Oryctolagus cuniculus: one gene and its partners. The protein of the gene in region 1 interacts with the protein of each later gene in a biochemical or structural test. Links are inferred from orthologs where the notes say so. Each region holds a gene or a part of one and is shown on either strand. Other genes may lie near its edges. The genes, in order: PEX5, AGXT, DDO, PEX13 and PEX7.

Region 1 (6,156 bases):
AGCTTACCAAACTGTCAGTAAATGAAGACTGGATAAAGAAATCATGGGATATGTCACTATGGAATACTACACAGTGGTTAAAAAAATGAAAAATAAAAAAAAATGAAAATCAGACATCTACAATAAAGTGGATGAATCTGGAAAACATCATGCTTAGTGAAATAAGCCAGGGACAAAGATCACATGTTCTCTCTGACCTGTGGTAACTAATAGAGCACCTAAAAGGCAAACTGTATACATGAAATTGACACTTTGAGAAGCAATAGCTAGAACAGCCATTTTGTTTTGACTGTTGAGGAACAATTTTGGGTTTTTTTATACTATTTGTTGAACTCTTTAATTAAAGTTAAACGTGTGTATAAAGTCAATTGAAAATAGATCTCAGTAAAAAATAAGAGTGGGAATAAGAGAGAGAGGAGGAGGAGGGTTTGGGAGTATGGGTGAGAGGGTGGGCATGGTGGGAAGAATCACCATGTTCCTAAAGTTGTAATTAGGAAGTGTATGAAGTTTGCAACTGTAAAGCTGTATAGTTCTGCATGCATTCCTAAGGACTTACTTCTAAAGGTACAATTTAAAAACTTGCCATGGAACCCCAAAGACCCTTAAGCTGGGTGGTAAAAATACCATCTTAATTGTTAAAATGATCATATGGATAAGATTAAGGGTCTGGTAAAAATAATAGATAGAATTAAAAAGGAGTGAATGCTACAAAGTTAACTGAAAATGAATCTTAGTGGAGAATGGGACCGGGAAGGGGAGGGGGAGGAGGAAGAAGGGTGGGAGGACGGGTATGGTGGGAAGAATAACTATATTCCTTGGGCCGGCGCTGTGGTGTAGTGGGTAAAGCTGCCACCTGCAGTGCCAGCATCCCATATGGGTGCCAGTTCAAGTTCCAGCTGTTCCACTTCTGATCCAGCTCTCTGCTATGGCCTGGGAGAGCAGTGGAAGATGGCCCAAGTCTTTGGGTCCCTGCACCCGCGTGGGAGACATGGAAGAAGCTCCTGGCTTTGGATAGGCAAAGCTTCAGCCATTGCAGCCAATTGGGGAGTGAACCAACAGATGGAAGACACCTCTCTCTCCCTCTCTGCCTCTCCTTCTCTATATAACTCTGACTTTCAAATAAATACATCTTTTTTTTAAAAAAGAGCCTCGGGTGATCACTGACATCATATATAAGAGAGTTAAATGTTAAATTAACAACAACAAGTCACTGTGCACTAACTTCCCATGCAGGACCTCTGTCCTCAAGGAGTTGTATTATAACTATAGTTAAGTGCTCCCAAAAGATGTATCATTCTTGGGTGCTTCATTAAAGTTAATTAAGTTTGTAAGAAAAAAAAAAAAGTGAAATTAACTTCAAGAAACAACGATTTTAAACAGCCCTTGTCTGGACTGTTGAAGAACAGTTTTGGTTTGGTTTGGATTGGTTTTGGGTTTTTTTTGTGCAAATTGTTGAATTCTTCACTTAGTATGGAGTTGGTCTTCTGTGTATAGTTAATCAAAAATGGATCTTAGTGGAGAATGGGACTGAGAATAATAGGAGAGGGAGAAGGGGTGGGAGGGCAGGTATGGTGGGAAGAATCATTATATTCCTAATGTTGTACTTAGGAAATGCATGAAGTCTGTATTCCTTAAATAAAAGGTTTCTTTGTTGGGGGGGGGGGGGGGGATTAAAAATTTTTTAAATTGTTCAGTATAAAATAATGAAAGCATTATCTCTATCTTTCAGGCTTTCCTTATTGGTATTCTATCTTTCACACATCCATTTGTTCACTTACTCATCTGAAATGTAGAGCAACAGAGAAAGCCAGAGATCTTCCATCCGCTGTTCACTCCCCAAAGGGCAAAGCCAGCCAGGGGTGGGCCAGGCTGAAGCCAGCGGGCACGAACTCCATCACGGTCTCTCACATGGGCGCAGGGGCCCAAGCACCTGGGCTGTACTCTGCTGCCCTTCCAGGCACAATAACAGAAGATGGATTGGAAGCAGAGCAGCTGGGACTTGAACCAGCACTCGGATAAGGGATACAGTGCTGTAAGCAGTGACTTAATCCGCTGTGCCACAGTACTGCCCTTCTCCCTCCTAACCACAGGGCAAAACCTCCAGAAATAACCTTTTCTATTGTATAAGATGAAACGGTCTTCAGAAAAGCCCAGAGGATCAGCAGGAATACAAGCAAAATCCTATTTTTCCTAAAACAGTTTTTCATTGACTACCAAATCCTAGCTTTTCAAAATCATCCTGCCTCTAATGGCCTTTAATGTTTTGCAGAGCTCGCTCACTCTGCCCACAGGTATCCCCAGCACCCTGTTTTGTATCTCGGGCTGTTTCAAGCCCCAGAATCTTTCCCCAACCACATCTGAGCTGAGAAAAAGACATTACTACTCCTTCCCCACTTCCTGTTTGGCCATTTTGCGAAACCCAGCAATTCTTTCCCTTCCCCCTTATGCTTCAATTCAGGAGCTCAATTAGGAATCACAACCTCAAGTACCCCGCAACCCACAAGATTTGGTTGTCGCAGGAGACTCCTGAAGCAACAGAAACTTCTAATTCTACAGCACATGCGGGATGCAGAATTCAATCGTGCTCCATCACCAACTGCTAGGAAATGTTCCTAATATATTAAAGTATTTAAAATGTTTCATAGATGACCCTACACCGGGGTAAGGGGCTAGCACATACCAGAAGAGATTAGACCTTAAAATGAATGTGTGATTTAAGAAAGTCAATAACTCTGAGGGGTGGTGGCAGAGGATAAACTGTCAACTGGCACTCTCCACCGAAGAGGAGCGCGAGCAATCCTCTGAAAATGTTTCCAGCGCCACCTCCAAAACAGAGCTGCCCCCTCTGTGTCCTTAATGACCACAAGCAAACCTCCCTCACAGCTGCTGTCACCATACTGCCATTATCTTACCAACCTTTCTAGCCAAGAAGACAGTGTATGATCAATGACCTTTGCATACACAGGACATTACTTGAAAGTGAGTCTCCTTCAAATTCAGTATTAAAGGGAAGGTATTAGAGGCGGATTCTGAAACCTGAAAAACCAGGTTCTCACCTTATCATAGGAAGCAGATGTGAGATCATCGTAGTCAGAAAGCCAGGGGTGAGCCTCAGCATCCCGCTTAGCCATCTCCTCCAACTCTGCCTGCAACTTGTCCCAGAAATCGACATCAGACTGTAAGGAAGGGAAGGCAGATAGAAAAGGAGATCCTTCACAGCCACCCCATCCCACCCTCAGCTCACTGGAATGGACTCCCTAAGACAACAATCGTGAAATTTCAGCGTTTTAAGAGTCATCTGAAGAGCTTTATAAAACTACAGATCTCCAGATCCTACCCAGAGATTCTGACTCAGCGGTCTGGGTGACACCCAAGAATCTGCATTTCTGAGCGGCACAGCTGACCCAGGTACCCTAGGAGACGAAACCTTCGCCATCTTTGACACTAATACACCCAACTCCCGGAGGGAAGGTTTTCTCCTGGGGTGAGTCTACTCCTGCCCATCTGCTCTCACCTCTATAGCTGACTTTGCTCGTTCAAACTCCATATCGAGGGCAGATGTGTTTACTGGTCTCGTGAACTGGTCAACCCAGGCATCTGATGCACCCTGTGACAAAGGAAGAAGGTCACTACCAACAACAGCTTTCTACCACTAAACATAAACTCAATACCCATTGAACACCACCAGCCTGGGCACTTCTGAGAAGAACATCCTCAGAATCTCCCTCCCACTCAGGACCTGATGCTACCAAGACAAGCTGGCAATAAAATCCCTTCCCCCTCAGGGACCACTGAACACTCAACCCAAGGCCTGGGGCACCAGCTGGCTCCGAAGTGGGACTGGAAAGTGACAATGGCCTACCTGCTGCTGTATAAACTCTGCTGCCCACTGTTCTGCCTGAGCTCGGCCCGACCCTGCAGCGGACTCCAGGGACACCTGCCCCTCGCCAATCTGTCGCACGAATTTCAGGAACTGGGGCACAGAGACACACACAGCCACTTGGGAGAGGACTTTCAGGGGTGCACTCTAAACCACGCCCAACAGGATCCTGCACTTGCCCCTCCCACTGACCAGCTCTAGCTGCACACAAGGTATGTGCTAAAGACCCTGGAAAAAGACGAGAGCAAAAAGAAAGGGATTTCTGGCTCTGAAGATTGGAGATGGCACCAGAATACAGAAAGGGTGATCAGGCAAGAAACGAAGAGTATTAGAAGAGGTTAGATCAAGGCTGCAAGGAATAGACCCACGTTCTCATCTCCTTTTCTTTAAACAAGGCAACAGAAGCAAGACGCTTGCCTTCAAGACCAGCTCCTGGGCACAGCAACAGAGGGATATGGCTCACCTCAGAGTTAGCCAATTTGGGGTCATCCACCTTGGCCACAAAGTCACTGGCCGTGTGCTGCAGATCCTCCTCGGGATGGTACTCATCATACCTGGGACAGAAAGGGATAAATTAACTTCACACATTAGTCTGCCACCACTTCCCCATGCAATTCTCCGGACCAAGTCCATAGCAGTAACAGCTCCCCTTGGGGAAAGAGAGGGTAGCACCACTCTACTCTTGTTGAGGACCTACCTAAGCCAACTGACACTGAAGTACAATATTTGTGCAGAAGTCAGAAAGTATACCAACATCCTTTTCCTGTCCCTGTCCCAAACCTATCTTTCAAAAAGAATGAATAAACAGTAGCAGGCTCGAATGTTTAAAAGGAACAAAGCACATAAAAGTACAAACTTCGCAGGGTTGCTCAGATTCTTTCAAACATGAATTATAGTGGTAATAACACAAATGGAAACCTTAAAAAATAAAGTACGAAAAGAAGGGACCACAGGTTGGTTTGAGAATGTGGATGGAGAGGCAGAGAGGCTGGGAAAGCCGTCCAGTACTGGCCTCCTTTTACAGGGCTCCGGAAAGGAGTGGGTGGGCTCACCAACGGTCAGTAGCAGCTGTTCCCTCGGGCTCTCCCAGCCACAGCTTCTCCTCTGACTGCTCCAGATACTCCTCAGCCCAGCGGGCAGGCGACACGGACAAGGGGTCTACCAGGAACAGAAAGTTGTGGAAGTCACCCAGCACTCAGTGAGGAACAGGGAAAGCAATACAAATACTCAAACAAACCTCTTCAGCAAGCTGAAACAGATGGAACTCTATTATTTCCTCAGTGCCCACCAGCCAAAAAAAAAAAAATACCAATTTTTCACATTCTTTTCAATATCCAACTCAACACCTAGGGATCTGGGGTAGAAGTGTACAAACACATGGGAACAGGAGACCAAACAGGGCAATTTGGGAAAGAATTCAGAGCCGCACTCTTCTGAAGTACAGGCGGCCTTGATGAGAAACAGCAAGCACATGGGCTTCTCCCTTTCTCAAGGGTATCCTAGGCAGCCAGCAAGGAGCTAAGGGAGAACAGAGAGCTCCTGTTCCTTAACTAAACCTCTGGTCTTCTACCTGCAGTTCACACCACCCCAGCAACAGGAGCCACTTCATCCCAGCGTGTCTTCCACGAGAAGCTGAGAAATAAACGCCAGGCCAGAATTAAAGACACACGGGCCTGCTATTTAGACGCAATGTTTTGTTTTTCATTTTTTTAATTGAGATATAACATACAAACCCGAAAGCACATAATGTGTAGCCAGCCCAAGTATATGCGTGTACTCGCATCACCCAGCCCCGCACAGAGTCTTTACAGCTGCCTCATGGGTTCCCAGCTGTCCCCAGACCCCAGACGTAAACACTATTCTGACTTTTGTTGCTTTGGGTTAGTTTTGAGCAGCCGTGTTTTTCATTCGAATGCAACAAATTATCTTAGAAGCTCTGGTGGCCGGTGCCGCAGCTCATTAGGCTAATCCTCCGCCTACGGCGCCGGCACACCGGGTTCTAGTCCCGGTCGAGGTGCCGGTTTCTGTCCCGGTTGCCCCTCTTCCAGGCCAGCTCTCTGCTGTGGCCAGGGAGTGCAGTGGAGGATGGCCCAAGTGCTTGGGCCCTGCACCCGCATGGGAGACCAGGAGGAAGCACCTGGCTCCTGGCTTTGGATTGGCGCAGCGCGCCGGCCATAGCAGCCATTTGGGGGGTGAACCAATGGAAGAAAGACCTTTCTGTCTCTCTAACTCTGCCTATCAAAAAAAAAAAAAAAAAAAAAGCAGCAGCTCTGGTA
Region 2 (6,756 bases), on another chromosome or scaffold:
AGCCGCCCCCCCACCGCCGCCGCAGACCCCAGTTCCCCGGGAGCCTCAGCCCCCCCACAGACCCCAGTTCCCAGGAGTCTCAGCCCCCCCCACAGACCCCAGTTCCCAGGAGCCTCAGCCCCCCCACAGACCCCAGTTCCCAAGAGTCTCAGCCCCGCCCCCAGACCCCAGTTCCCCGGGAGTCTCAGCCCCCCACAGACCCCAGTTCCCAGGAGCCCCCTGCCAGTTCCCTCTGCTTCCCCTCCTCAGGACCCCAGGGCGGCCTCCCCAAGTGCCTGCTGCCCTGCAGGTGCCGCCCTAGGGACAGTGGCACACAGTCCAGGCCCAGAGCGCTGGGCAAGGAGCAGGGGAGGGGAGGGCAGCAGAAGGAGGTCGGAGAGGAACCAGTGCCGCCGCCCGGGCCGCTCCTGTGCTGCCGGACCACAGCTTGTCCACCTTTCCTGGGCCCGACCAGCGACAGAAAGCTCTGAGCGCCCAGGGGAAGGGCAGCTTTGGGTGGGGGGAGATGAGGCACAGGCCTGGCCGCCTCTGCCCATCTCCTCCTCTGCAGCCCGGGGGACCCACACACCCCCAGGAAGGTCAAGGTGCCAGCCCCAGCCGTGAGTGGGGAGCAAGTCCCAGGGGAAAGCTGGGTGCCTCCCTGGGGGCAGTGGCTCTGGGTCAGAGCACACAGTGCTGCGTGACAGAGCACACGCCTGTCCCACCCCCACCCGCGGCTCTGTGCCTCCCGTGCGACCATGAATGCGGGCACAGAGCCACACACAGGGGTCCTGCCCGGGAACGGACATTTGCTCTGTGTCCCTCTCTGCCTCCCCTTCAAAGGGCGTCAGATCTGCCAGCGGGGGACAGGGCACCAGGCGCAGCAGTGTCGCCGCGTCCCTCACTGAGCCTGGGCTCCAGTCCCAGCTCCGCTGAGGCACACCTGGGAGGCGGCAGTGATGGCCCAAGGGCATGGGCCCTGCAGCTCCCGGCTGCAGCCTGGCCCAGCTCTGGCCATTATGGCCATTTGAGGAGTGGACCAGTGGACGAAGGCGCGCGCTCTCTCTCTCCCTCTCACTGCCTTTCAATAAGTAAAACAAGTCTTTTTGTAAAAAAAAAAAAAAAAAAGAGAGAGAGAGAGAGATCTTTGCCCCCAGCGCGTGCGAGGTTCTGAGGTGACGGGGGCTTGCCGGGCTGGGAGCAGACAGCTCTGCGGGGCCTGGAACGGAGGGCGGGGCTCGGCCGGTCCGGCTCCTCCTCCAGGGAGTCTTGGGGTGCATTCGTTACAGCCCCATCACCCAGCCTGCAGGGGGGCGCTTCAGTGGTCACATGGGACCCACCCTCAGCACCCACCCTCCCGCGCACAGTACACAGGAAACACTTGTTCACAAGGTCGGGGAGCAGGTCCCAGGTGAGTGGATGTCGGCACGCGTGAGTGTGGGTGTGTGTGAGCACACTCGAGTGTGTGTGTGAGTGTGTGAGAGGTGTGTGAGTGGTGAGTATGAGCACCAAGTGTGTGACTGAGTGTGAGTGTGTGAGTGGTGAGTGGTGTGTGAGTGTGAGCACCAAGTGTGTAAGATAGTGAGTGGTACATGAGTGAGCATCAAGTGTGTGACTGTGAGCTCGGAGTGCGAGTGTGCACGTGTTGAGTGTGTGAGATAGTGTATGAGTGAGCACCGAGTGTGTGACTGGGCACTGAGTGTGCGAGTGTGAGTGTATCAGAGTGTATGAGAGTGTGAGTGAGTGTGTGAGATAGTGTGTGAGTGAGCACCGAGTGTGTGACTGAGTGGCACTGAGTGTGTGAGTGTGAGTGTATCAGCATGTATGAGAGTGTGAGTGAGCACCGAGTGTGTGACTGAGTGGCACTGTGTGAGTGTGAGTGTATCAGCGTGTATGAGTGTGTGAGTGAGTGTGTGAGATAGTGTGTGAGTGAGCGCCAAGTGTGTGACTGAGTGGCACTGAGTGTGTGAGTGTGAGTGTATCAGAGTGTATGAGTGTGTGAGTGAGCACCGAGTGTGTGACTGGGCACTGAGTGTGTGAGTGTGAGTATATCAGCATGTATGAGTGTGTGAGTGTGTGAGTGTGAGTGTGAGTGAGTGGCCGTCTCCCCCACACCATGCACATGTGTCCGCTAAATCAAACCTTGCCATCAGCTAAGCCAGCGTCAGCAAATCTGGTGTCCTGTGTGTTTTTGCAAATAAAGTTGTATTGGAACACAGCCAATTTGCTCTGTGACCCTCTGAGGGAGACGTCAGACCCCTGAGCTAAGCAGCAGGGAGGCGGAGCTCAGGCTCCCCCCCATGGACACCCCCGGCCCCGCCCCCCTCTGATGTTGTCCCTGCTAGGAAGGAAACAGCCAAAGGCGTGGGTGGCCAGGAGTCCATTGGCCAGGCCCCACCTCCAGGCCGTCACTGGGCTGGCTAGGAGACACCCCAGTCACCAGCCAAGGCCAGTGTGGCCCTGGGGCCCCGAGCGGCAGGTCGGGTGCAGACCATGGCCTCCCGCCAGCTGCTGGTGGCGCCCCCGGAGGCTCTGCGCAAGCCCCTCTGCACCCCCCACCGGCTGCTGCTGGGGCCGGGCCCCTCAAACCTGCCGCCCCGCGTGCTGGCGGCCGGCGGGCTGCAGATGATTGGCCACATGCACGAGGAGATGTACCAGGTGGGCTTGGCCGCCGGCCGCCCGCGGGGGGCCGCCTGGCCCGGGGGGGGGGCCGCATCTGACCCGTGCGCCCCCGCCCCAGGTCATGGACGAGATCAAGCAAGGTATCCAGTACGCCTTCCAGACCCGGAACGCCCTCACGCTGGCAGTCAGCGGCTCGGGACACTGCGCCCTGGAGACCGCCCTGTTCAACCTGCTGGAGCCGGGGGACGCCTTCCTGGTGGGAGCCAACGGCATCTGGGGGCAGCGGGCTGCCGAGGTCGGCGAGCGCATCGGTAAGGGAAGGCTGCCCCCACCCGCCTCGCCGGAGGCCCGGCCTGCTGCCTCCTCCAGGCGGGCGTCAGGGTGCTCCTGGGGCCTGGACCCAAGGGCGCAGCGTGCAGGGGGCCCCGATCCAGAGCCCTGGGGGAAGCCCCCACGCCCTGAGTCCTGCAGCCCTGTGGGGCCCCAGGCCCAGCTCTGCCCTGTGACAGGATGGGGCTCCCCTCACTTCCGGGAAACAGCTCCGGGGGCATCTGGGTGGGCAGGGGGCACGAGCAGCCTTCCACCCAGCACAGCGCCGGCCCCACAGGGCCAGGCTGGTTAATGGACAACCCGAGGCCCTTCGTGGACACCTCAGTCAGAAGGGACAGGCGGCCCCCAGCCCCCAGGCTCGGGCTCCTGTCACTCACTCCTCACACCGTGGGGGTGTCCTGAGGGACCCCCTTCTGGGTGCACAGGAGGCTCTGTCGGCTGTGGAGGAGCGAGGAGAGCCCACCCCCGCTCCCCTCCTGTCAGCCCCCAGGCTGCAGGGCGGGCGGAGTCCCGGTTCTGCACGGCTGCCGGGCCCCGGCTCTGACCCCCTCTCTGCCTCTGTGCCCAGGGGCCCGAGTGCACCCCATGATCAAGGATCCTGGAAGCCACTACACCCTGCAGGAGGTGGAGGAGGTAGGGGTCCCGGAGGGGCCTCGGGGGCCAGCCCCGCAGGCTGGGCCGGGGGATGGGCCCCCCCCCGACCCCCAGCCCTTCCCAGCGTCTGTGTGTGGCCACAGGAAGAGCAGTCTAGAGCTGGGAGCAAGTGGGAGGGGGGGGAGGTGGGGGGGAGGGCCTGGCAGAGAAACCGAGTCAGCCCTGGGGGCGGGAGGCAGGGTGACGGGTCTCTGACACTCAGGGTGCCACAGCTTCCTGCCCAGACCACGGGGACTCTGCCTGGCGGGGCTGGGAGGCGGGGGCCACGCCTCCTCCAGCAGATGTCCCTCCTAGAAAGGTCTCCTGCCAGGGCCCCCACTCACCCCTCCTCCCAGGGCCCCCAGAGCCCCCCACACCCTCCTCCCAGGGCCCCCAGACCCCACCCACCCCCTCTTCCCAGGGCCCCCAGAGCCCCCCCACCCTCCTCCCAGGGCCCCCAGACCCCACCCACCCCCTCCTCCCAGGGCCCCAGACCCCACCCACCCCCTCCTCCCAGGGCCCCCAGACCCCACCCATCCCCTCCTCCCAGGGCCCCCAGAGCCCCCCCACCCCCTCCTCCCAGGGCCCCAGACCCCACCCACCCCCTCCTCCCAGGGCCCCAGACCCCACTCACCCCCTCCTCCCAGGGCCCCAGACCCCACCCACCCCCTCCTCCCAGGGCCCCAGACCCCACTCACCCCCTCCTCCCAGGGCCCCCAGACCCCACCCATCCCCTCCTCCCAGGGCCCCAGACCCCACCCACCCCCTCCTCCCAGGGCCCCAGACCCCACTCACCCCCTCCTCCCAGGGCCCCCAGACCCCACCCATCCCCTCCTCCCAGGGCCCCAGACCCCACTCACCCCCTCCTCCCAGGGCCCCAGACCCCACCCACCCCCTCCTCCCAGGGCCCCAGACCCCACTCACCCCCTCCTCCCAGGGCCCCCAGACCCCACCCATCCCCTCCTCCCAGGGCCCCCAGACCCCACTCACCCCTCCTCCCAGGGCCCCCAGAGCCCCCCACACCCTCCTCCCAGGGACCCCAGAGCCCCCCACACCCTCCTCCCAGGATCCCCAGAGCCCCCCACACCCTCCTCCCAGGGACCCTAGATCCCACCCACACCCTCCTCCCAGGGCCCCCAGACCCCACTCACCCCTCCTCCCAGGGACCCTAGACCCCACCCACCCCCTCCTCCCAGGGACCCTAGACCCCACTCACCCCTCCTCCCAGGGCCCCAGACCCCACCCACACCCTCCCCCCAGGGCCCCCAGACCCCCTCACCCCCTCCTCCCAGGGACCCTAGACCCCACTCACTCCCTCCTCCCAGGAACCCTAGACCCCACTCACCCCTCCTCCCAGGGCCCCAGACCCCACCCACACCCTCCACCCAGGGCCCCAGACCCCACCCATCCCCTCCTCCCAGGGCCCCCAGATTCCACCCACCCCTTCCTCCCAGAGCACAGGTTCCCCCAGCTGTCCCCACCTGACACAGCACCCACCAGGAGGGGCTGAGGTCACCAGGCTCCTGCTGGACCTTGTCCACACGCATTGAGGGGGGCTGCTGGGGGGACCCCACCCTATCCTCACTTGCAAAGTCCCTCCTGCAGGGTGCTGGGGAGCCCCTCTCGGCTGTGCCCCCAGCTGTCACTCTACCCTCAGTGCCTGGCCCAGCACAAGCCCGTGCTGCTGTTCCTGACCCACGGGGAGTCATCTACGGGTGTGCTGCAGCCCCTCGATGGCTTCGGGGAGCTCTGCCACAGGTGAGCCCGCCCCACAGGTGACTCCGCCCCTAAGGTGAGCCCACCCCACAGGTGACTCCGCCGCCACAGATGAGCCCGTCCCACAGGTGAGCCTGTCCCACAGGTGAGCCTGTCCCACAGGTGAGCCCACCCCACAGGTGAGCCTGTCCCACAGGTGAGCCCGCCCCACAGGTAAGCCCGTCCCACAGGTGAGCCCGCCCCACAGGTGACTCCGCCCCCAAAGGTGAGCCTGTCCCACAGGTGAGCACATCCCACAGGTGAGCCCATCCCACAGGTGAGCCCGCCCCACAGGTGAGCCCGTCCCACAGGTGAGCCCGCCCCACAGGTGAGCCCGTCCCACAGGTGAGCCCGCCCCACAGGTGAGCCTGTCCCACAGGTGAGCCCATACCACAAGTGAGCAAGCCCCACAGGTGAGCCCAACCCACAGGTGAGCCAGTCCTACAGGTGAGCCCATCCCACAGGTGAGCCAGTCCTACAGGTGAGCCCATCCCACAGGTGAGCCCGTCCCACAGGTGAGCCCGTCCCACAGGTGAGCACACCCCACAGGTGAGCCTGTCCCACAGGTGAGCCCACCCCACAGGTGAGCCCGTCCCACAGGTGAGCCCACATCACAGGTGAGCCCGCCCCGCAGGTGAGCCCACCCCACAGGTGACTCTGCCCCACAGGTGAGCCCGCCCCACAGGTGAGCCCACATCACAGGTGAGCCTGTCCCACAGGTGAGCCTGTCCCACAGGTGAGCCCGCCCCACAGGTGAGCCCGTCCCACAGGTGAGCCCACCCCACAGGTGAGCCCGTCCCACAGGTGAACCTGCCCCACAGGTGAGCACACCCCACAGGTGAGCCTGTCCCACAGGTGAGCCCACCCCGCAGGTGAGCCCGTCCCACAGGTGAGCCCGCCCCACAGGTGAGCCCGCCCCACAGGTGAGCCCGTCCCACAGGTGAGCACATCCCACAGGTGAGCCCGTCCCACAGGTGAGCCCGTCCCACAGGTGACTCCACCCCACAGGTGAGCCCGTCCCACAGGTGAGCCCGTCCCACAGGTGAGCCCACCCCGCAGGTGAGCCCGCCCCGCAGGTGAGCCCACCCCACAGGTGACTCTGCCCCACAGGTGAGCCCGCCCCACAGGTGACTGCCCCACAGGTGAGCCCACTCCATAGGTGAGCCCACCCCACAGGTGACTGCCCCACAGGTGAGCCCACCCCACAGGTGACTGCCCCACAGGTGAGCACATCTCCAGGTAGAACATAGCCTAGAGCCGGGCAGGGGTAAGTGCTGGCGTGGAGGGTAACAGGAAGACCCGGCTGCCCGAGCCCCCATCCCTGGGCCCGGCCACACAGCATGGGGCACAGGCCTCTGGGGGCCCCACCCTGAGAATGGGTCTTGTCAGGGGCTGGGGAGTGGGCACTGCCCCCCAGGTCTGCATCCCACAGGATGG
Region 3 (6,156 bases), on another chromosome or scaffold:
CAGCCATCTCTGGGCCACCAGCCTGTCCCCAGCCAGAAGCTTCCCAGCATCTGTAGAGAGCACACTGGGAAACAGCAGATTCCAACAGGCCCCTCTGCCCTGGAGGGTCTGAGGACACACCCGCACACAGCACATGAGGGCGTCCCTCCTGGCTCCGTGCACCAACGTGGCAAGCAAGGCTGGGAAGGAGAGTGGTTATGGTAGCAGTGGAGCCATCCCAGAGGGGATGGGAAAAGTCCTCAGTGGTTCTCAGCCCTGGCTGTCAGGAGAGCCCCGTGGACAGCTGTGACTACTTAGTGATGCCCCCCTCCCCCCCCACACCCCCGCACCAAGGAGTCTCATTTAATAAGGTCTGGGTATCAGTATTTTTCAAAACTTCCTTGGTGATTCTAAGTTGTACCCTGGATGGGTAGTGATGGGCCAGAACCAGTAACCGTTGAGAGACACTGGAGTGAAGACGCAGTGATCCACGAGGATGAAATCAGGACACGCAGCCATGAGGCCCCCAGTCTTTCAGGCTGGTGACAAGGTCCTGCAGAAACTTCAAATGCAGAGTGGAGCTGAGCCAGAGCACCAAGAGGCAAAGGTCCTGGAGAGCAAGCCTGCACAAAAGGAAAAGGCGCAGGATGCCGGCCGTGGGCAGGGAACAGGTGTGCACACTTCCGGCCACCGTGAAATGGCTGAAATTCTACTTCTGAGCAGCGTCCTTCATCTTTCTAAGCCACTAACAAGACGCATCCCCTGCCTTGTAAAATGCCATTTTACATAGCACATCGCTACCCCCGTAGCATGTGAGATGCGTGCGTGTTTCCAGTCAATCTGAACTCAAACATTTCCCAAATATGTTACACAGAACTCAGGATGATGCATTTAGGTCATATAAACTCCCAAATATCAAAAGAATTGCACACACATTCCACGTGCTTAGCATGTTGTTTTTTTTTTTTTTAAGCCATTTTTCCATTTTCAAATTTACCAATGCATGTGAATTTGAGACAACACCACCCCCTGGTGGAAACCAATAGAAACTGTCCCACCTGATTTAAATTGAGAATTTTTACTGCAAAAGATGATTAAAAGCATTTTCTCCAAGAACCTTTCCCCCCTCCCCTCAGCAAAATATTCTTTTCAAATGACATCATATGCAGAATCCCAGCGAAGAAAGCTGTCCACCCAGAGCTGTGCTGGAAACTTTTTCTTTCCCGCATTTTCATTCCCAACCCCACATTTCCCCCACCTTCCCACCGCCAAGGATGTCCAAAACACAACTTAGGGGGCAGGCATTTGACCCGGTGGGTAAGATGCCACTTGGGACACCCATGTCATGTGTTCGAGTACTCTGCGCTCAAGACTCAGCGTGGCTTCCAGTTCCAGCTTGCTGCTAACACACGCCCCGGCAGGCCGCAAGGATGCCTCCAGTACTTGGGTCACTGGCCCCACACGGGAGTCCCAGATGGAGGTCTTGGCTCCCAGCTTTGCGGGCACTTGGGGAGTGAACTAGCAGGTGGAATTCTCTCTCTCTCCCTCTCTCTCCTCTCTGCCTTTCAAATGCATAAAATGTTCAATAGAACTTCTTCTTATTAAACGTAAGTCATCTCCCTCCAAAATTAAAACAAAAGTTAAATCCAGTTGGCGTCAGCCTCTCTTATTACCCCATTTACCACGTCCCCGTACCTAAAACTTTCTCGAGCACTCTAGATAGAGTCGGCCTGAGTCCAGGAGCCAGGCTAAACCTACCCGACTCAGCAGTTCCCAAGCTCATTTTATTATGAGATGCATCTCTCTTCCTCACTATTTTTTTTAACAGCCTACAGAATACTCTTTGGTTATATTTCATCCAGAATGATTATTCCATCTCCATCAGCAAATTAGCTCGGGTACGGCACATACAATTCAATCTTCAAAACTGCTTAGGTAAGTCAGCCGTCCCAGCCAGCTCCTCATCAGTTATGGTAATGGAATATACAGCCCAGGCGGCTACCGAGTGGATGCCACACCCGTAGGCAACTTCATCTCTGTCTGCTGCCGTCCCCGCCAGCTGAGGGGGAGAGGTCGCCACTTGTCCTGGCAATAATCATGCGTTGTCCTCAGTCAAGTGCAATGAGTCTGCATAGCATGGACACTAGGGGATTTTCCTTAGAAGGCTCATAAGGCTCACTCAGCGATCACCTAACAGGGCCAGAGGCAGTTCTGCAACTGGCCGCAATTGAAGTGTTTCCCATGCATCATCTCCGCCATGGATTTGTGAGCCAAAATACAGCACACTTCCTATGGCTTCCAGCCTTCACGTACATTAGCATAGATCCTTGCACATGAGATTCAAAGAAATCTGACCCTATATAGCCAACACTTTTTAATAAAAATAGAGCTTTATGTCCTATGTCATGAGTAGTAGCCTTGCTAATGCTACTGATACGTGTTGCATCATTTCTCATTTTGAAACCAAATAAGCATCTGATTAAACTTTCATGCAGCGAAAATGTTATTTGAGCCCGCCTGGTGCTGCTATTGGGCTTTGATCCACGCTCTCTGGGGCCACTTCCTGTCACTTCATGTTATCTAGAGCTTTGAGTGGGGGGCAGGGGTCCCGAGGGCCTGGGCACACTCGCTCACCAGTCTGGCGGCCTCTAGAGCCGTGCCCCAGTGCACGGAGAAGCCGCCGGCGCCGTGGCCGTAGTGGTGGACCACGGGCAGTCTGCGGCCGTCCCGGACTAAAAGCTCCTTCTGTAGCCGCACGCCCGGCCGGGAGGGCCTCAAGCCCACCTGCTCCTTTATGTCGTAGGCTCTGTGGAGCGAGGGCTCCAGAGCACAGCACCGAGAAAGGATATCTCTGCTAACCTCGGCATCTGGGGACAGATTCCAGTCGCCTGGCTGCCTGGTCCCCCCCAGGGTGACATGGAACGCCCCGGGGTAAATGTACGTCAGTCCGCTGCCGTCTCGGATGAAGTGCTTCACCCAGGGCGCCTGGACCTGGAGCACCTGCCCCCTCACAGGGAAGACCGCGGAGTCTCCCGCCAGCCGCCTGCTCCCAAGGCCCGAACAGTTGACCACGATGTCGAAGCTCGGGTGGAGCTCCCACAGGTCTTCCACTCGGCGGGTGAGAATCACGCCTCCACTTCCTTGTAGCCTGGGGAGGAGAGAGCCGGGGGTGAGCCTTTGTAGCTTCCTACTCATCCACTTCAGGAAGCGAGGAAGGAACACAGGACCGGACAGGAGGCACCGATCACCGCACTGATCACCGCACAGACGCCGCCCAGAGCTCCCGGGGCCCAAGCAGGCCAAATTGTAGCCGTCGCCTGCCTCTTATTTTCAGAAACAGGGAGTTCCTGGAATTGAACGTCAATGAAAAACGCTTTTGAAAATATGAAATACATGGAATACCTCATCTTGTATATTTTTGTAGAATTCTTCTATCGCTCAAGATGCTGCAAGTAAATGCTACATGGATCTGATATTTAAATACTGCAGCATTTTTGTTTCTGCCACTCCTGACCATCTACATTCTCTGCCTGGGATGCTCTGTCTCATTGGGAGCTCGCGCCTCCCACCCCCTCTATGTCTTCCGGGATGCTAGCAGAGAGAAATACAAAATATTTGTATCTGGGAGATACCATGATAGTTTTGTTTGATACTTATTTTCTGGATAAAATATATAAATAATGAAAAGAAATGAGTTATCTGAGTCTTGGAACATTTTTTAAAGTTGCAGTAAAGGGGACAGCACTGTGGCGTAGTGGGTAAAGCCACCGCCTGCAGGGCCAGCATCCCATATGGGTGCCACTTGGAGTCCCAGCTGCTCCACTTCTGATCCAGCTCTGGCCTGGAAAAGCAATAGAAGATGACCCAAGTCCTTGGGCCTCTGCACCCATGTGGGAGACCCGGAGGAAGCTCCTGGCTCCTGGCTCCTGGCTTCGGATCAGCTCAGCTCTGGCCATTGCCACCGTTTGGGGAGTAAAACAGTGGATGGAAGGCCTCTCTTTCTCTTTCTGCCACTCCTTCTCTCTGTAACACTGACTTTAAAATAAAATAAATAAATCTTTAAAAAAGTGTCAGTGAAATACACATATCATAAAATTTACCATTTTGACTTAATTTTTTACAAAGATTTATTTATTTATTGGAATGCCTGAGTTACCCAGAGAAAGGGAGGCACAGAGATAAAGAGGTCATCTCTCCGCTGGTTACTCCCCAAGTGGCTGCATCGGCAGGGGCTGTGCCAGGCTGAAGCCAGGAACTTCTTCCAGGTTTTCCTCATGGGTGCAGAGTGTAGGCACTTGGGTCATCTTTAGCTCCTTTCCCAGGCCATTAACAGGGTGCTAGATCAGAAGTGGAGCAGCCAGGATTTGCACTGGCACTAATATGGGTTGTCAAAATGGCAGCCAGCTGCCCAACCTGTTACATCACAACACCAGCCCCATTGTCCCATTTTGACCACTTTTAAGTGTACCGTTCAGTGGCACAGTTATCCAGTCATCACTACCATCCGTCTCCAGAACTTTTTCTATCTTCTAAATGAGAAGTTTGAGTCATTAAACAATAATCCACAGGAATATCATAATCTTAATTTTTATCTCTTGAATCCTATAATCTTCTTCACAAACCACTTTTTAAAAAAGATTATTCAGGCTGGCACTGCGGCTCACTAGGCTAATCCTCCGCCTTGCGGTGCCAGCACACCAGGTTCTAGTCCCGGTCGGGGCACTGGATTCTGTCCCGGTTGCCCCTCTTCCAGGCCAGCTCTCTGCTGTGGCCAGGGAGTGCAGTGGAGGATGGCCCAAGTGCTTGGGCCCTGCACCCCATGGGAGACCAGGATAAGTACCTGGCTCCTGCCATCGGATCAGCGCGGTGCGCCGGCCGCAATGCCATTGGAGGGTGAACCAACGGCAAAAGGAAGACCTTTCTCTCTGTCTCTCTCTCTCTCACTGTCCACTCTGCCTGTCAAAAAAAAAAAATTAAAAAAGATTATTTACTCGAAAGGCAGAGTTATGGGGGGTACAGGAAGAGGAGGAGAGAGAGAGAGAGAGCTTCCATCCACTGGTTCGCTCCCCAGATGGCCATAACAACTAAGGCTGGGCCAGGCTAAAGCCAGGAGCTTCCTCTGGGTCTCCTATGTGGGTGGCAGGGGCTCAAGTGCTTGGGCCATCTTCTGTTGCTTTCCCATGTGAGTCAGCAGAGAGCTGGATCGGAAGTGGAGCAACAGAGAGGGTGGCAAACAACAGCATGGGTCTTAGCAGCTGATTTTAATGAGCAAAAGGGGGGCTCTCAGTAGCGACCCTAATTTTCTTCCCCCACTGCCTGGTGCAGAAGTTCAACTGGAACTTGCAGTCAGACCGGCAGGAAGCCAGCCTCTGGCACGGGACGTGTGGCCCAGCTAATGGGCGTGGAAGAGACCAATGCTGCTGCTCATCTGTATCCCGGTGTCCAGTTCCCAGTCTGCAAAATAGCACTGGCTTCCTTCTGTGGGGTTGCAACGCCGCCCTCTGACGGAAGGGATTCCCCTCCCCTGCCCCCTCCGTCTGCAGAGACCTCTGCACTCTCTGCACAGAGCAGCCTGAAGAAGGTTTTGAAACCTCTGGATTAGATCTACTTAGAGGACTCAGCAGGTCCTTTTTTGGCAAGCTCTGTGCTAGGCCAAGAGAGCTCATAGGCGCCTCTTGCTCTGACGTTATACGAACCCCTTGTGCACTCATTAGGAAATACAAGCAGTTGTTTCAAGCATCAGTGCTCCAAATGACACAGCTTACGTCCCAGGTGCTGGCACTTTAACCGCATGCACGCTTGCTTGTTATTCTGAAAACCCACCAAAGACACAATGTTGTTTACCTGACACAGGAAACCAAAGACGCATCTGGCAAACATGCACACTTTAGGGCCCCCAGAGAACTTAGAAAGCCAATGCATTACTTTGTGTCATAACCAACAGTGGTTAAAAGGCAGCGAATGGGGCTGGAACTACTGTTCTGTTTTCTTTCTCATTTTTCCTAAGTAAAACAGATTGTAGATAAAAATACTTAATGTAACCAATCTTATGGTCACAAGTTTTCAGCTCTCTCATGAAATAAATGATTTGAGAGCTTAAATTATGTTTTTTAAACATATAAGAATACTTCAAACATATAAGAATACTTAAACATATAAGATTACTTCAAAAGGCTT
Region 4 (4,823 bases), on another chromosome or scaffold:
TATAGTTTGTAGAGGAGGTAGACATTTAACATAGCAGTTAAGATACTCATGTCCCATATCGGAGTTCTGGATTCAACTCCCAATTCCAATTCCGTATTCCAGCTTCCTGCTAAGGAAGGCAGCAGGGGATTGCCCAAGTAATTGGCTTCATGCCACCCTTGCCACCCTTGTGAGAGACCTGGCTGTGGCCACAGCTCAGCCCTGGCTGTTGCAGTTGAGGCGTGAGGCAGTAGATAGAAGCTCACTCTGTGAATGTGTGTGTGTGTGTCTATCTTCTCCCCACACATAAATATGTTTTTTAACTTTTTAGAAAAAATAGAATTTAAGGTTTATTTTGGTGGAAAATATTTTTAAAATCTATACATAGTTTTTTTTAAAGCCAGTTTCTTTCTTTCTTTCTTTCTTTCTTTCTTTCTTTCTTTCTTTCTTTCTTTCTTTCTTTCTTTCTCTCTCTCTCTCTCTCTCTCTCTCTCTCTCTCTCTCTTTCTTTCTTTCTTTCTTTTTTTAGTTTTTGACAGGCAGAGTGGACAGTGAGAGAGACAGAGAGAAAGGTCTTCCTTTGCCATTGGTTCACCCTCCAATGGCTGCCACGGCCAGCGCACCGCGCTGATCCGAAGGCAGGAGCCAGGTGCTTCTTCTCCTGGTCTCCCATGCGGGTGCAGGGCCCAAGCACCTGGGCCATCCTCCACTGCACTCCCTGGCCACAGCAGAGAGCTGGCCTGGAAGAGGGGCAACCGGGACAGAATCCGGAGCCCCAACCGGGACTAGAACCCGGTGTGCCGGCACCGCAAGGTGGAGGATTAGCCTATTGAGCCACGGTGCCGGCCTATACATAGTTTTTTCATACCACAGATTTTTCATGAATTTTTGAAGACCCTTCGTATGTATGGATTTCAAAAGTCTTTGCACTAAAATAAACATCTTTTCATTGCATTTTCTATGAACTTTATAAAATACCTTCATATTTATTTTCTGTACTTATCCTCACTTACCCTGTTGAGAAGCAGTGAGATATTCTTTCCTGAGATTCCAATTTAAAATATTAAAGACATTAATTTAAAATTTTTTTAATTAAAGGCATTGCTAATTTTAGTTTTAAAGATTTTTATTTATTTATTTTAGAGGGAGAGTGGGAGAGACAGAGAAAAAAGTCTTCCATCTACTGGTTCACTCCCTAGATGGCCACAATGACCAGAGCTGGGCCAGTCTGAAACCAGGAGCCAGGAATTTCCTCCAGGTCTTCACATGGATGCAGGGGCCCAAGAACTTGGGCCATCTTCCACTGCTTTCCCAGGCCATAGCAGAGAGCTGGATCGAAAGAGGAGCAGCTGGGACATGAACCGGCATCCATATGGGATGCTGGTGCTACAGGCAGAGGCTTAGCCTACCTACTATGCTGTAGCTCCAGCCCCTAATTTTTAGTTTTAAAGAGGATGAATCTCCTTACCCTATGAGTGGGCCAACTGACAAAAACTTTATGTTCTTCAAGATAGAAAGAAAATTTAGTAAGTAAAAAAATTTAAAATGTAAATTATAATTATGGACCTTAGAACTGGTAGGCGTATTCAGCATTTGATTTTGAATATCTATGTGCATGTACTATTTATTTATATATTTTGTTAGGTAAATGTAACATTTTACTTAAATATGATATTTTACCATCAATAATCTATTGAATCATCCAAGTATGTTATAATTACCAAGCTTTTTTTTTTTCCCCAACAGAACAACAGCCCAGAATACGTGGTTGGCTTCTGGCTAGTCTTGATGGTCAAACAACAGGACTTATACCTGCAAATTATGTCAAAATTCTTGGCAAAAGGAGAGGTAGAAAAACGGTGGAATCGAGTAAAATTTCCAAGCAGCAACAATCTTTTACCAACCCCACACTAATTAAAGGAGCCACAGCCAATGATTCTTTGGATGAACAGGAAGCTGCCTTTGAATCTGTTTTTGTTGAAACAAATAAGGCTCCAGTTGCACCAGATTCCACAGGGAAAAGTGGAGATAAACAAGATCTTTGATCTCTTTCATGATCATATGCAGTTGAACAATAGAGTACTTTTTTAAAATTATTTCTGATAAATCTACAATCCAATGAAAACATGTTATTGGCTATTCCAGGTATTTTGCTGCTAGAAATTATTAAAGTTATATGCAAGTATGTTGGTCTAGTGACCTGGTTATGTGTTACAAGTTATTGGACCACGAGGACATTGGTTTCACCTAGTTTTTAAGATTATGAAGACTGCTATCATTGTCATCTTTTAAATCCCTAGGTTTATTGGAGGGGTAAGACTGGTGAACCATAGGATATATGGTTTGCTGCAGTAGGGATCATTAATGCTTATTAAAATTCAATTCATTGGCTTGTAATCCTCAGAAATTGATAACATAAATATGAGAGCAGGCAAAAAGGAGACCTTTTTTTTAGATCCTTAAGTAAACTGAATAATAAAAATGTTCTGACTCATATTCTATCCAGTGTTGAGTTTGCTTTAGTCAGTAGTAATATGTTTTTGCCCACAAATAATCAATACTATTATCTTTGTATTTTTTAAATGTATCTTGAAAAGGTCACTAGAAGCATTATAGAGATTGTTCTAGAATGACAGAATATAGCCTTTACAGTATTGCTTTACAGTTTGCATTTAGTGATATAACCAGATCTACCAGTAATGCTTTTTTAATCTTTTCATAGATTCTCTGCTTCTACTTTTTAAAATTCCATATTCATGTGTTCTTTAAACATTGAAAATGTGTCACTTTGCATATACATTTGTTTCAGGTTTAGTTTTTACTACTGAGACTATAAACAAAATACTCAATTGGCATTTAGAATGTGATAATGCTATTTGACTTATTTGTTTATTAATGATCATAAATATGGTTAACTTTCAGTACACTAAGTATTTCCCACAAAATTGGAAACTTTGTACACTTGCTGTAATTTCTACAGATTAATACTATCAGGAATACAGGTGTGTAAAAATATGCTTGCAGGTTTTGTTGAAAACTTAGAATTATTTGACAGAGATTACAATTTAGTATTTTTATCTTTATTCTTATAGACTATATTTACCAAATAATTCTAGAACAGTTCAGACTAAAACATACAGGAGCCATAAAATAAACTCAGCATTGAGGAATTTTACTAGAAGCTTTTGGGAAGCCCTTTTTTGAAATGACAATGTAGTAAGTAATGTAGCATTTAAAATAGCAATATTTGTGCAGAAACAGTTATCTTGGGCCTATTTTCATAACAGTTATCTTAAGCCTATTTTCTCAGGTCTAACCCACAAGTTGAGGAGATAGTTTCTTGTATTTTCCATTTGTGTTCTATAATTAAAAGTTCTGCTTTTTTTTGGTAGGGAATAATTTATGGAAATTCTGTTTTTTAAACAAATTTTTGATAAACTGGTATTTGGACATCTAAATTGAATGTTAAAAGGAAAGTGGAAGTGAAACGTGGAGTTAGTGCTACTTATATTAGGAAAGATGAATTATTAGCATAGAATTTATGTCTGCTACTTAAAATGTGCAGGAAGAAGAGTAACAGAATGAATGACAAACCAATTTCACTTTTCTTAAGGTGTTTATTGTTTGGTTAAGTATGCTAAATATAGTATACATTTTCTACTGTTTGGGTCTGGAAATTCCCTTTCTGTTAAAATTCTAGAAAAAGAATTTAAGGCTAGAATAAGCAGAGAAATTTTGTAACCTTTTTTATCATGATAGTTTTATTATAATTCCTAGATGACATTAAATGTTATGGTGAAGGCTCCAATATTTTCATTTTTAGGAACTTACCTAAGAAGTGCTACTTTACAGGAATTACTAATGGAAACCAAAACATTTTCATTTAAATAACAATACTAAGTTAAAGTAAGATAATAGATTTCTTTTCATTTTTATCAGCTCAGAAAGGAAAAGGTAAGAGGATTACAAATTTCCATATTTTAACACTTTTTAGATACTGACTTTGTCAGTATGTCATAATTATTCATTTACCTGAATTCAGTTATCCTTCATTTTATGCTTTCTATGAAAAATTTAATGCAGTTAAATATTTGTAATAGATTAAGTTTCTTTTACTGGAGAAATAAAAATATGTTAAACTTGATGTACATTTTTAAAGAACAACTTAGCTCTTTCTCCAAGATTGGAATTATGTAAGAGCTTCTATTTTTCTTCATGCCACCATATATATACCTACTATAAACCAATATGTCTGTTCTGTTTCTTTGTGATTTGAAGAAAAATATTAGATTTACATTTACATAAAACTTGCAGGTGAGTTAAACAAAACTAAGACCTCAGAGCTAGAATTTGGGAGACCTATAGTCTGGAAACCGCCTTCTTTAACATTTAAATTCCATTGTTTTTCAGTTTCTTCATTGATAACATTGGTAATAGCTACTACATCTACCAACATGAGAGCACTTTAAAAAAAAAGCACAATCAAAAGTATAATTTTTCAGCAATTACATGTTTTATAAGTTTTTCCATGTTTACTTAACCTTCTTAAATCCTGTAAAATTGTCAGTATTTCTGTCCGTCTAGAATTTCAGATTTACAGATACTTAACTAAAAGTTAAAATTACCTCTTCATACTTTAACTCTGCCCAGTTTATAATATAAAATTATTTTACAGGGGTGAGCATTTGGCCTAGCAGTTAAGATACCCACACCCCATTTCAGGGTGCCTGGCTCCCAATCCCAGCTCCCTGCCAGTGCAGACCCTCGGAGGCAGCAGGTGACCACTCAAATAGTTGTGTCCATGCCACCTACTCAGGAGTTGGGCTGAATTCCTGGCATGCTTT
Region 5 (6,156 bases), on another chromosome or scaffold:
GCTTCCTGGAAGCATCACGGAGAATGTGGCAACCTCTGGCACACAGGGTGCTTAATAAAGGTTTGCTACTGTTGTTAGCATTTTTTTCTTAAAATTATTTACTTATTTACTGGGGGAGAGAGGGAGAGAGAAAGTCACTGCGCCTCCACTGGTTCAAATCTTGCAATAGCCAGGGCTGGGCCAGGTCAAAGTGGTAACTGAGAATTCAGCCTGGGTTTCCCATGTGGGTAGCCGAGACCCGACTACATGAGCCATCACTGCTGCCTTCCAGGGTCTGCAGTAGCAGAAGCTCAAGGCAGGAGCTGGGGCTGGGCATTGAACCCACGTGTTCTGGTGTGAGATGTGGGCATCTTAACTGGATCCTGACCACGAGGCTAAATGCTTACTCCTGTTGTTATTTTTTGACTGCTTACATCAGCCTAGAGCAGGGATTGGCAGACTACAACTTATGGGCCATGGCCTACCCTGATTTGCTGTTTGATTTGCAAATAAAGTTTTATTGGGACACAGCCATACCCATTCATTGAGTATTGACTTAGGCTGCTTTTATGTGTCCTGTAAAGTCTGAAATACTTACTCTATGGCCCTGATAGAAGAGATTTAACTTTATGGAAGAAATTTACCATATACTATAGGGCTCTTTATAAAGTAAATGTAGAGCGTAAACTCAAACCCCTCAGCTGTGCAGATCTTCAGTGACTGCTTCTGAACGCATCCTTTTCCATCTGTGGCTGACATACGGCCACAGCAGCTCTTTGGGTATGAGCTGTTGTCTGTTGCGAGACTATGGTTCTTTTCATGTCTTAGCTGCTCTTCTGTTGCATGAATATGGGCAGTGACAGGGCCAGGGCTTGTGGGGGGGGGGGTGGGGTTGTGAGGCACTCACAGAGTATACAGTTTAAGGGAGTTCCCCAAAACTTGATAATTAAGGTAATAGTCTGTTAATGCAGTGTTTTCAAAAAATAAAAATGGATGCAAAAAATTCATGATGAGCCAAATACCAATATTGTGTTTTCTTTTATCCTTCCTCTTTTTTGGAAGATTAATAAAATTTAATTTTTTTCAAAAGGTCTCCAGCTTTATTGAGATATGATTCACAAATAAAAATTATATATATTTAAGGTATGTAAAGTAGGGCTTTAATATACAAGTATACATAGAGTAATGATTACTCCCATTAAGCCTCTTAGCATATCCATCATCTGAGACGGTTACCATTTTGTATGTGTGTCAAGAACATATAAAAGCTATTGTCTTAGCAAATTTCAAATGTAGAATACATTACTATTAACTGCAATTACCATACTTTACATTGGATCTCTAGACCTTAACTTGCAGCTGAAAGTTTATTTCCATTTTCCTCACCCCCCAACCCTTGGCAGCCAGCACTGTACAGTGTGTTTTTCTTAAGTTCTACTGTGCTGGATTGCATAGAAGTGATGAAGCATGAAAAGTTTGAAATAAAGGGAGGATCAGTATCACTGATTTTCACCCCCTTAGGCCGTAACATTGCTCAGCAGGGCATTGGGCGGCAGAGAGCAAGGAGCCCAGCCTGCAGCTGCAGCGCCCCATTTGTTCATTGTCTCCACAGGTATGTGGGAGTGAGACTTGTCAGCTTCACATTAGCCTGCTGGGTGGTCACATTTAATGACATATACTCAGGTTCATGTCTGGGCTTTTTCTAAAGTATAATTGTGCATATTTTCTTGAACTTAAACTCAGTGATCTGTATATAATCAGAGGTATAAAATGGTGGAATAAAAAATATTTCTGTTAAGTTTTCAGATGGTCCGTTTGAAATGGTTCAGTGAGAATACTGAAGCATAAATTAGAATAGCAGCATTGGATAACTAAAGCTGTTTACCAAGAGATCTGAAAGGATCACCTGGTTTCTATAAGCTTTTTCTAAGAAAGGCCAAATAGGGATATTAATTGAATTTATAATGCTTTCTGATAAACACTGACCCAGTAAGGTTTTTTAGATGACTACCTCTCTAATCTTCTCTGACATTTCTTCATGGTGCTGCAAACAGTGATTTGTGGGCAGGTTTAAAAATAGGTATAATTTGTTTTAGGGAAGGTTTGGGAGTATTCTGTAGAGTTCTGTTAAGGTGGAGTCTGGTCTGTGGGGAATAATGTGGAAGAATGGGCAAGGTCACCTTTCCACTTCTCAGCGTGTTGAAATGACTTTGATGTTTTAATGAAGCAAATTACTTGTTCTAACTGGCTATCACTGCAATAAAGAGATAAAATGTAATGTTGAACTTGATGCCCTTTTGCTTTCTAAACGCATTAAAATGTTTTTAGGTGTATAGTGTTGATTGGAGCCAAACCAGAGGTGAACAGCTTGTGGTGTCTGGCTCATGGGATCAGTCTGTCAAAGTGGTATGTCAGCATTACTGTATTTAAAACAAACACTGAATTGTTTCTTTTCCAAAACATAACTTCTGTAATTTCACAGATAGTTTTGTTTTCAAGACATGTATTGAAATGGTTATTAGAATTTAAAATAGATTTCTTTGGGCCATAATTAGCTCAGCATTGATTATTTTGGCCCCTTAAAATTGGTACCTCTTGCTTTACATAAAAATAGATATTAAAATTGATGATATGTATTGCTTGTGTATGTATATTACCTATTTATATATATATAGTATATACATGTGCATGAATTTGAATTTCCCTTTGTTAAGTAACTGATCTATTCATTTGTTTGTAGTGGGACCCAACTATTGGAAAGTCTCTGTGCACCTTTAGAGGCCACGAGAGTGTCATTTATAGCACAATCTGGTCTCCCCACATCCCTGGTTGTTTTGCTTCAGCCTCAGGTAAATAATTGTCTGCTTACCAGAAGCATTATTTGTAGAAAAGCGTGGCCTTGTTTTCCCCATTAGGTGGTGCTGTATACCTCAGATTCAGGGTGGAACCCAGAGTATATGACATACTGTTCTTTTGTACTCTTAAGACTGTTTCATTCATTGGGCTGGTGCTGCAGCTCACTTGGCTAATCCTCTGCCTGTGGCGCCAGCACCCCGGGTTCTAGTCTCGGTTGGGGTGCTGGATTCTGTCCCGGTTGCTTCTCTTCCAGTCCAGCTCTCTGCTGTGGCCCCGGAAGGCAGTGGAGGATGGCCCAAAGTGCTTGGGCCCTGCACCCGCACGGGAGACCAGGAGGAAACACCTGGCTCCTGGCTTCGGATCCGCGCGGTGCGAGCCAGCCGCAGTGGCCATCTGGGGGTTGAACCAATGGAAGGAAGACCTTTCTCTGTCTCTCTCTCACTGTCTAACTCTGCCCGTCAAAAAAAAAAAAAAAAAAAAAAAAAAGACTGTTTCATTCATTACCAACCTCTTGACAAGAGTTAGCCAGGGGCCCAGATTACTTCTCGGGGATTCTAACTCTTGGAGAATAACTCATAGCTTCCTGGTAAGGACAAATCCATGGATGGCGATCAGAAACTAGGGTAAGAAATACTTTTGAAAGAGAAGGTCTTGAGTGTGTGTGTGTGTTTAAATATTTATTTATTTGAAAGGTGGAGTTAGAGAGAGAGAGAGGTCTTCCACCTGCTGGTTCACTCCCCATATGGCTGCAATAGCCAGGGCTGGGCCAGACTGAAACCAGGAGCCAGGAGCTTCCTCTTAGTCTCCCACATAGGTGTAGGGGCCCAAGCACTTGGGCCATCTTCCTCTGCTTTTCCAGGCATGTTAGCAGGAAGCTGGATTGGAATTGGAGCAGCCAGCACCCATATGAGATACTGGCACTGCAAGCGGCCACTCCACCCACTACGCCACAACGCCAGCCCCTTGAGTTTTGTTTTAGAACACTGTTGACTCTGAAGACGTATATGTGGGTATGTCAGCAAGCAGGTTCATTGTGGAGCTCAGTCTAGCCTTGTGACCCGAAATTGTGCTCTTGGCTCATGACTGGTAATTGAAGTGCTGGCAGGAAATCTGAGTACCCAGGAAGACTAAACAGAAGAAACTTGGGATGGAACAAAAGTTGGCAAACTACTGCCCTCATGTCACAGTGACTGACTCAGTGACAGTTTTTGTAGATAAAGTTTTGTTGAATCAGAACCATGACATTTATTCACATAGTGTCTGTGGGTGCTTTCAAGTACAGTGGCAGAGTTGCATAGTTGTGACATCTGAAACTGGCCCTCAAAGCCATAAAAGACTGGCCCTTTATGGGGACTGTTTGCTCACCCCTGGCATAGAGCCTTGAGGGAAGATCAATCCTGAGCACAGTTGGTTGTTTTAGTGAGGAGAGAAGACAGGAGCTAGAGAGAGTGACAGTGTGTCTCCAGGTGTCTCTCATTTAGTTATGCTACATCCAGACAAAGAACAGGTAGGGTAATCGTACCTTACTTGCCAATAAACTATCAGTGCTCTGAGTTGGCTTCCTTAGGAAATAGGACATCATAGAAATCCTTTCCATTAGTTGATTTTCTTATTAATTTTTTAATTCTAAAAACTACAAGTAGTCAAACTGGGACATGACTTTACTCTTGTGGTTAAGATACCATTGTCCCATGTCGGAATACTTAGCTCCTGACTCCAGCTTCCTGCTAATGTGGACTGTGGGAGACAGTAATGATGGCTCGAATAATTGAGTTCTTCCCTCCCATGTGGAGAACCTGGACTGAGTTTCCAGCTCCCAGCTTTGGCCAACACCAGTAGTTGTGTGCCTTTAGAGAGTGAACTAGCAGGTGGAAAGTCGCTCACTCACTGGCCACCACTCACTATTCCCCCCCCTCCCCCCAATTGCTCAAATTCTGAAAGTATTACTAAGCTGATGACACTCAAAAATGGAAACCTTAGGTAACCTGTGTATAGACAAACAGGTAACCTTAGGTAACCTGTATATGGACAACTAGATACATTTAGATTATTATTTTGAGATCCTAATGGTGACTAATCTATTTAGAGGCAATCAATTTAAGAAACATTTTGTTCTCTGAAAGAAATTACTGATATTATTTTCTAGAATGATGAGCAATGTACTCTATAAACTTATATAATTTTATTACTATTTTTAAATTTCTAAGTTAACAAGTCATTGCTTCTTTTGGTCATAATCTAAGTTAAATCTTTTCTAAAATACCTTGAGATGGGATCAGTGATATATTTTTCCTCATTGTATTTCCTTTTCCAAGGATGAATTTCTTCTTTGATGTTTTATCCTTCTGTGACACAGCTAACCATAAGGCTGGGTGTGTGTTAAGTCAATGGTAGTAGTGTTAATACACTTAGTTTGAGTTAATGAACCATTTAACCTGTATATAGTATAAATGCTGAGTTTTATATTTATAATGGATCAGATCTGTAAGATGACTATAGTTTAAGGGATATAATTTTACCATTGGTGAAAAGCCCTAACACAGAGAGTGTTAGCCCAAGTTGAATTAAAATGCTTGTAAGGATATGAATTAGACTGACTTTAACTTCATTTTCTTTACGGTGAGATGCCCTTCAGCCGTAACTATGATGCAGAGAAGTTGTTTCAAACTCTGAACGAATTTAGAGGTAAAGAATAGATCCGCCTTCAAAATGGGCAGAAACAGGCTTCCTTCTGAAAGTAAAACAGTGAAAGCGTGTCTGCTTGGGATTCTGATGGGCAACATTCACAGTAAACTGAAGTTAAAAATGAGTATAATTTTGCGTATTGGGAAAAGTATTAGTAAGTAGAACTCATTGAACTCCTGATGAGTTTTTAGAAAGTCCTTTATCCTACTATTGTATGTTACCTTGTTAATTTATATTATTGTTTAGAGTTCTAAAATTGTCTTCATGCTTATAATTGTTGTTCTTTTTATGCCCATGGCTGAATATGAAATCTGGTAGCCACAAAATCATAAACTAGTACAGCTGCATTTATTTAAACATCAGGTATATTGTGTGTATTAGCCCTTTATTTGGGCTGAGTCATGCACCTCTTCCTTTTATATTGGCTTTTGTGTGGCATGGTATACTCACATATAATATTGACTCTGGATATTACACATGGAACACTCATTTGGTGTATGAGACCAAATAGCAGAAAAAAAGATTCATTGTTTATAGAGAGTTAGCAAGATAATTACAGCTTTTTAAATGGGTACTATATAAAAACAGTCTGCTATCAACAGAGTGATCATTTGCTTTCATAGAACAGATCATCTG

The links.
Region 2: the proteins of PEX5 (region 1) and AGXT are reported together in a solved structure, tested with the Homo sapiens proteins (2 studies listed by BioGRID and IntAct, with this or other methods). The link is inferred for Oryctolagus cuniculus from reciprocal best matches to the Homo sapiens genes PEX5 and AGXT.
Region 3: the proteins of PEX5 (region 1) and DDO form a complex in vitro, tested with the Homo sapiens proteins (2 studies listed by BioGRID, with this or other methods). The link is inferred for Oryctolagus cuniculus from reciprocal best matches to the Homo sapiens genes PEX5 and DDO.
Region 4: the proteins of PEX5 (region 1) and PEX13 form a complex in vitro, tested with the Homo sapiens proteins (3 studies listed by BioGRID). The link is inferred for Oryctolagus cuniculus from reciprocal best matches to the Homo sapiens genes PEX5 and PEX13.
Region 5: the proteins of PEX5 (region 1) and PEX7 form a complex in vitro, tested with the Homo sapiens proteins (3 studies listed by BioGRID). The link is inferred for Oryctolagus cuniculus from reciprocal best matches to the Homo sapiens genes PEX5 and PEX7.

Annotation. Positions count from the first base shown.
Region 1 is NC_091440.1:102,361,242-102,367,397, forward strand, and holds part of PEX5 (peroxisomal biogenesis factor 5), read right to left. Parts: intron 5,039-6,156; coding exon 4,933-5,038; intron 4,435-4,932; coding exon 4,344-4,434; intron 3,974-4,343; coding exon 3,863-3,973; intron 3,608-3,862; coding exon 3,515-3,607; intron 3,177-3,514; coding exon 3,057-3,176; intron 1-3,056.
Region 2 is NC_091434.1:718,273-725,028, reverse strand, and holds the start of AGXT (alanine--glyoxylate aminotransferase), read left to right. Parts: upstream 1-2,351; 5' UTR 2,352-2,472; coding exon 2,473-2,637; intron 2,638-2,719; coding exon 2,720-2,912; intron 2,913-3,499; coding exon 3,500-3,564; intron 3,565-5,221; coding exon 5,222-5,322; intron 5,323-6,756. UniProt on the Homo sapiens protein: Peroxisomal aminotransferase that catalyzes the transamination of glyoxylate to glycine and contributes to the glyoxylate detoxification.
Region 3 is NC_091436.1:61,102,955-61,109,110, reverse strand, and holds the end of DDO (D-aspartate oxidase), read right to left. Parts: intron 3,128-6,156; coding exon 2,560-3,127; 3' UTR 915-2,559; downstream 1-914. UniProt on the Homo sapiens protein: Selectively catalyzes the oxidative deamination of acidic amino acids. Suppresses the level of D-aspartate in the brain, an amino acid that can act as an agonist for glutamate receptors. Protects the organism from the toxicity of D-amino acids.
Region 4 is NC_091433.1:141,655,535-141,660,357, reverse strand, and holds the end of PEX13 (peroxisome biogenesis factor 13), read left to right. Parts: intron 1-1,725; coding exon 1,726-2,024; 3' UTR 2,025-2,480; downstream 2,481-4,823. UniProt on the Homo sapiens protein: Component of the PEX13-PEX14 docking complex, a translocon channel that specifically mediates the import of peroxisomal cargo proteins bound to PEX5 receptor.
Region 5 is NC_091436.1:32,000,415-32,006,570, reverse strand, and holds part of PEX7 (peroxisomal biogenesis factor 7), read left to right. Parts: intron 1-2,307; coding exon 2,308-2,385; intron 2,386-2,719; coding exon 2,720-2,828; intron 2,829-6,156. UniProt on the Homo sapiens protein: Receptor required for the peroxisomal import of proteins containing a C-terminal PTS2-type peroxisomal targeting signal. Specifically binds to cargo proteins containing a PTS2 peroxisomal targeting signal in the cytosol.